2 linked regions of the Daphnia pulex genome follow. The protein of the gene in region 1 interacts with the protein of each later gene in a pairwise test. Links are inferred from orthologs where the notes say so. Each region holds a gene or a part of one and is shown in the gene's direction. Other genes may lie near its edges.

Region 1 (4,015 bases):
TAGTAACTGCGCGAATACTAAATTGATTTTTGTTCCAAATCTAGAAGAGATGCATTAAAAAGTTGGGAAATTTTTCATAAAGAATGGCATGACGCACTTCTGAAATTACATAAACGTAAAGTGTGGCATCGTAGCACAAAATTCGTTCGATTTTTGCTTTGATCGATTAACAACAAGAGACGTTTTTTTCTTGCTTTTTGCTTTGATAAAATGATGCTGATATAGGCCTAGTAACAACTGTTCTATACTCGATAAAAACCTAATTGCAAAAGCATTTGGAATTTTTAGTGCATTATGAACTGTATTTATAATCTTATAAAATAAAATAACGAGAGTTAAAAGACCAAAATCGATTATTTAATCGCGATAATATGTTACAACAAATTTTCAAAGTATTTTCTGGAATTTCAGATTCAGCAGCACAGGGAATCGAATGTTTTCTCAAGTCAAATTATTTAAAATATAATAAATTAAAATTAATTTATTGAGTAGTTAAGCCAAATCATTTATCTGTTCAGTCTTAATATCTTAATGGAGGTAATGGGGCTTAATTGTGTAACGACATAACGAGGGGCGGAAAAACAACAGACCCAAGAGTACCGTATTCAGTCTAGTGCTGTAACCACTAGCACAAATTATTTTCACAAAATAGCAAGGTTATGGGGAACATTCACGAAGCTCCAATTTTTAGTGACTATTAAATCTAACGTAACCCGTTATCCTTATCAGCCGCGCGCCGTTACGTATGAATCGCAAACAAAGATGCGTAAAAACCATTCCGAAGATTCAATATTTTCCCGTATGAAACGGCGAAACGCACAAGAAAAGCTACTCTACATATAGACATCCGCTAAATTACGATGTTCAAATCAACTGGGAAAATGATTAAAATCGTCCCTGTCGTTCAGCATTGATGGATTTATGGTCTAAACTTGAGATGGCTCACATTTTTTAAAAAAGAGTATAACAAAAAATAGAACTTGTTTTTAAAAAGTTGTTTTTTCCCGCGACCATTTTTAGCCAACTTTATTATTATAAACGTTTTCACTTTTCAGCCGAGCCGCCTCAATCACTTTTATCGAAATGTGAAATGTTAGTTCTGATCCTGAACCTGACTCCCTGAGACCCTGACTGAACATACTCGCTTGAGGCCTATTTATGCGTACAAAAAGTAAAAACAAGCAACCCTGCAGGCAGCAGGCTGCATGAAGTACTCCTGCAGTCCTGCATTCCGCACCCACACTTTATCCACTTCCCCTTATGTGTAGTCAGGTGTAGTGTCGTGGAGTCGTAAATTCGTGTATCGCAATAACAATCAAAGGAATAAAGGATTGCTTGACAAACGAACATTGCAAACTGGTTCATTTCACACCAATTGTTAAAATTGTAGCACATGAATTTTATCAACTTCTTTTACTCGTTGGTTTGAAAAATTTTCCTAAAATGGCGAACACTCCAAGTTTACCAGTTTCGCTGCTAATAGCTAGCAAATCTCAGTCTGTAGGTAGTGAACCTCAAAAGAAAACTCGAGAAGACTGGAGAAAGGCAAAAGAGCTAGAAGAAGCCAGGAAAGCAGGAACTGCACCAGCTGCAGTAGATGAAGAAGGTAATTGTTATAAATTTAAAAAAAAAATAAAATTACTTGTTTGACAACTCTAAATTTTCTACAGGCAAAGATATCAATCCTCACATTCCGCAGTATATTTCTTCAGCGCCATGGTATTACAACACTGTTGGACCAACACTAAAACATCAAAGACCTCAAGAGGATGATAAACAAAAACAGTTGGCCAAAGTTGGTGATTGGTTTCAGCGGGGGGTGAATCTTGATTCCCTTACAACCAAATTCCGAAAAGGAGCTTGTGAAAACTGTGGAGCAGTGACTCATAAGAAAAAAGATTGTATGGAAAGACCAAGGAAAGTATTGGCAAAATTCTCTGGTGCTGAAATAGCCCCAGATGAGTTTATCCAACCTGATCTTAAACTTGACTTTGATGGAAAACGTGACCGTTGGAATGGCTATAATCCAACTGAACATTTGGGCATTATAGAAGAATTTGAAAAAGTTGAAGACACTAAGCGCCAACTGAAAGCTCAGAGGCTAAATACTGGAGATGAAGATGAAGGAGGAGAAGAAGAAATGGATGGTGATGAAGATAAATATGTTGATGAAGTTGACATGCCTGGAACAAAAGTGGATTCTAAGCAGAGAATTACAGTTCGTAATCTAAGGATTCGTGAAGATACTGCCAAATATTTACGTAATCTGGATCCTAATTCAGCCTACTATGATCCAAAAACTCGTTCAATGAGGGAAAACCCCTATAAAGGTACCTTATATCAATTTGTAATGGAGTGATCATTTTGAAATCCTAATTTAATGATTAATTTTTTATTATTAAGATACTGGAAAAGAAGCTGAACAGGTTGACTATGCTGGTGAAAATTTCATTCGTTTTAGTGGGGACACTTCAAAACATGCACAGGCTCAATTGTTTGCGTGGGAAGCTCAACATGCCGGTGTTGACGTACATTTATTAGCTGAACCCACCAAGGCTGAGAAACTTAAAGTCGAGTATGTTGGGAAGAAAGAAGAAATCAAAAGCTCCATTCAAGAGAGTATCTTAGAACGTTATGGTGGTAAAGAACATCTGCAAGTTCCACCCAAAGCACTCCTACTTGCTCAAACCGAACAATACGTGGAGTACTCTCGAGCTGGAAAAATTATCAAAGGGGCTGAAAAACCAGTTGTAAGCTCCCGCTATGAAGAAGATGTGTACATAAATAACCATCAGTCGGTAAGTCTAATCAAATAAATAGCTCTGTTAATAACCGTGTAACATTTTAAAATTTTGTTTGTAGGTCTGGGGCTCTTATTGGAAGGATGGTCAATGGGGATTCCAGTGCTGTTATTCTATGATAAAGAACTCGTATTGCACCGGTGAGAGAAGCAAAGACATCGAAGAAGAAAAAATCCCGTCTTCGACTGTTGCTATAAATGCAAACAAAATTGTGACACAAGATTCGGATGACGGGAACACAGACAGCCATGACGATAGCCAAGAAGAAAAATTTGAGGAAAAGCAGTTGCCTCCACCAGAAGTCGTCAAAGACACAAAAGACTACGAAAAATCGGAAGCCAGAAGGAAAAGGAAGAGAGATAAGAAGAAGAAAAAGAAATCACACAAAAAATCAGTTGGGAAAAAGGGTGACACCCATGAAAGCAGCGACTCGGAAAGTGATGAAGAAGCCGAGAAAAAGAAAAAGTTGCTTGAAGCTCTTCAAGCTGAAGAAAAGCGTCTCCGGCAAGTTGACCGTCTTATGAGTTTGGACGAAAGGAAACGACCTTACAATAGTATGGTGGAAAGTAAAGCGCCGAACGAGGAGGAACTAGAAGCCTATTACATGAAGCGTAAACGAGAAGAAGATCCAATGGCTTTCTTTTAATTTGGTTTTCGAATAAAAATGTATTCTTTCACTTTTTTCAATTTTTTTTTTATTCGGGAGAAGTCTCTGAATGTGTTGTATGACTTATATCTTAGCATCGTGACCATGTATGGCTTACGCCACAATCGTACCACCGGATTAGATATAATTTTGAAGCTAATAATGAATAAATGTTGAAATAGAATATTTCCCAGTATTCCTCCATTCTGTAGTTGACCTTTCCCATCTCAAAAGTAGTAAATTTAGTCATAACTTTTCCGTTGCAAAAAAAAATCGACAAACGGTTGACTTTATTAGTTAATTTTAATTTTACTCATTTACTGCTAGGGTTCAGAATTCGTGGGCCTATTATTTTCAAGTGGACCTAGTCTATTTAGCAATGTTAAAGAAAATGGTTAAAAATTTTCTCAAAATGTATTTAAAATTTTTGTTTTTACAGTTAATTTGGTCAACTTAACTCACTAAAAAAAGTAAACTTCGGATTTATCGATCGTCAACGATCGTCAATGAATTTGCAGTATTATCGGCCATTTCGAATAGCAATAGTTCGAAATTGTAAAAATAGGTG
Region 2 (2,951 bases), on another chromosome or scaffold:
GAGATGTCGCCAATTAACTTTAACTCCAGCAGTCAGTACCAACCATTAGTTAGTAAACACTATTGCTTGGTACTATTTTAAAAAAATAATTTTGTTTTAATTTGGATATCAGTTTTCTTGTGTGCTAAAACCACTTCAAATATTCTGAAAAAGTGGTTCAGTATGTCACTTATATTCAACATATAAAAATGATGTTGAACTTAAGTAAAATAAACAATGAAAATGTGTAAGTAAAATGGGACACCACTGGACAAAATTTAAACTAAATGATAAACCACTTGATTTATCTTACAACTACATACACTATTACCATTTCAGATTTCCTGTTTTCATCTCATTCTCGTCGTCAATGTAGCTGTAGTAGAAACCCTGTCAACATCGAGGCATTTTCATGATACGGCAACGATTACGTGGAGACAGGCAGTAAAGTTAACTTTCTTAAGTCTTAACTTGAAGCTTGTTAAATCTGATTAATCCAATCAGAAATTCCGATGCAATACACTTGTAATTCGATAAAGAATGGAAAACTAACCAGAAAATCCAACAACAATGTCTGCCATGTGTCGTAGTCGTGCTCGAGCTCGACTGCTCGTGCTTAGGAATCGCATCAACTGTTCAACGCATCACCTGGCGGACAAACTTTATCCCAAACACGATTTAAATCATTTAATCAATTAGCGTTTTCAATTATACGCAATTCGTTAGTATAGCAAAGCTATCATTCACAAATATTGTGAGATGAAATATCTATTAAATCGAATGGAAATTATAAATATTTTACAAATATCAAAATCAGAGCTATCAGCTATTACTAGAAATGGTGTCCACGTTGCACTTTGTTTTTCGCTTAAATGTTTGATGTAGAAAACTACTAGAAATATTTATAATACCATAAAAACCATGTAAAATTCCTATTCCTATGGATGTAAACGACGGAATCATCATTCGTGTGTAATTTACAGAATAAACGTCTAAAAGGACGTTGAATGGATCCGTTCTACGTTCTTATATCAGTAGAACCAACCAACGCTGTCCGCTGAGAGTTGCAGCTAGACGATATCGTTATCCAGTGCCAATCTCATTTACTTACCTATTAAAGTATTAAAATTGTTTTTTTGGCGCGCAGTTCATCAAAAATTTGAAGCCATCTGGGGAGGGCTATCAATACCAAAGCCGACGTCATCTATTGGGAGAAAACAGCAACTTTCTGGTGACAGATTATTTTCTTTCAATAAAATATGTCGTTCGTTCCTAGATTCCTATAAAGTAACAACATAGATTTTGTCATTAATTATTTTATTTGTGCTTAATATCATACATTCTTTAAAAAAATTACACTTATGACGGATCGGAGTTAGATGGTTCTCATGATGTTGTGGAGGCCTGCTCCTTGCGGCCAATCCGCAACAATGATAACCAAGCAGACTACAAAGCTTTAAGCTTGACGTTTGAAAAGGAAACATTTTGAAAACCGATTCCAGTGTTCCACTTTTTCTACGCTTATTAGAAAAGCAAAAACGTTTTTAAGATTTGTTTTTTACCCTTACCCTTAACAGTAACAAAGAATCTGATTAAAATGGTTGGTATTTGAGTTGTGTATGTGTTTTTTTTCCAATTTTGTAATATTTTAAAATTTTAATTTTTCCAGTCTGTTACTCTCCACACTGATCTAGGCAATATTAAGGTATTTATTTTGTCAAATATTTCTTAATAAGATAAATCATATTCTTAATTATTTTCATTTAGATAGAGGTTTTCTGTGATGTAACACCAAGGGCTGCAGAGGTAATGTTAAGAATTTTATGAATTTTTTAAAATTATTTTCTGCACAAGTGTCTTATTATGTATCCAGAACTTTTTAGCACTTTGTGCCAGTAACTACTACAATGGATGCCTGTTTCATCGAAACATAAAGGGATTCATGGTGCAAACAGGAGATCCAGCAAACACAGGAAAAGGAGGCACATCTATTTGGGGAAGAAAATTTGAGGATGAGTTTACAGAGGAATTAAAACATAAAAATCGAGGGTATCTTTCAATGGCTAATTCTGGACCAAACACAAATGGCAGCCAATTTTTTATCACATATGGTCCGCAGCCTCATTTGGATTTGAAGTACACAATATTTGGAAAGTAAGTTATCTATTTTTTACAGCAATTAAAGCTCTTTTTTAAAACACAATTTTTTTTTTTATTTTTAGAGTTATTGATGGATTTGATGTGCTGGATGAATTGGAAAAACTACCAGTAAATAAAACTTCTCCATTATTATATGTATAACTAATGAGTTAACTAATCCTCGTTCATAGGTCAACCAGAAGAATCATCGACCGTTGAAAGATATACATTTAAACAGTGTGACTATTCATGCCAATCCACTTGCTCAGTGAAAGTTTGAACTGCTCCTTTGCTATGTATGAATGTGGGTGTTATACATCAAAACAGAAATTATTTTTGTTTCATTTAATATCATGTTCAAAGTACACCAATAGGTACACAATAGTTGACATGAAAAAGGGTCGAGCTGTGTGAATTTTAATATGCCATAAGTAAAAATCCACCAAGCTTCAATGCAGAAATTGTGAAAATCCATCGAAAATAAGTCGAAAAACAACCTTAATTCAGCGCACATTACGTGACGCCTTTACATTCTGTGTTCATCTTAAATGGGATAGGTCAATTTGGAGGTTAACAATTCATCTTCTGAACTCGTACTGATCCTTCCTTGGCTAATTGGTAGATAAATCATCCTTTTCGTAGTCATCCTCATTTGTAGTGATTTCAGTAGCTTCAGAATGTTCCTGGTTTTTTTCATCTGCTTCTTCAGCATTCCGGTTTTCTTCTCCTGACTGGAACAAGACATTAAACTTAAAGACATTTTCTTCTAAATCTAAAATTTTAATTTACATACAGCTTGACCGCCATACTCTTCTTCAGGAGTTTGATCATCA

What was found. The genes of interacting proteins can lie anywhere in the genome.
Region 2: the proteins of pre-mRNA-splicing factor SLU7-like (region 1) and peptidyl-prolyl cis-trans isomerase-like 3 interact in binary tests that used the Homo sapiens proteins (3 or more experiments, as listed by UniProt). The link is inferred for Daphnia pulex from reciprocal best matches to the Homo sapiens genes SLU7 and PPIL3.

What each region holds. Positions count from the first base shown.
Region 1 is NC_060025.1:5,188,496-5,192,510, reverse strand, and holds pre-mRNA-splicing factor SLU7-like, read left to right. Parts: upstream 1-1,215; 5' UTR 1,216-1,443; coding exon 1,444-1,606; intron 1,607-1,670; coding exon 1,671-2,330; intron 2,331-2,403; coding exon 2,404-2,798; intron 2,799-2,862; coding exon 2,863-3,447; 3' UTR 3,448-3,633; downstream 3,634-4,015. UniProt on the Homo sapiens protein: Required for pre-mRNA splicing as component of the spliceosome. Participates in the second catalytic step of pre-mRNA splicing, when the free hydroxyl group of exon I attacks the 3'-splice site to generate spliced mRNA and the excised lariat intron.
Region 2 is NC_060018.1:4,044,775-4,047,725, reverse strand, and holds peptidyl-prolyl cis-trans isomerase-like 3, read left to right. Parts: upstream 1-1,420; 5' UTR 1,421-1,576; coding exon 1,577-1,579; intron 1,580-1,648; coding exon 1,649-1,684; intron 1,685-1,746; coding exon 1,747-1,785; intron 1,786-1,852; coding exon 1,853-2,133; intron 2,134-2,201; coding exon 2,202-2,247; intron 2,248-2,309; coding exon 2,310-2,390; 3' UTR 2,391-2,451; downstream 2,452-2,951. Other genes in the region: uncharacterized protein LOC124188554, read right to left, coding at 2,730-2,849, 2,912-2,951. UniProt on the Homo sapiens protein: PPIases accelerate the folding of proteins. It catalyzes the cis-trans isomerization of proline imidic peptide bonds in oligopeptides. May be involved in pre-mRNA splicing.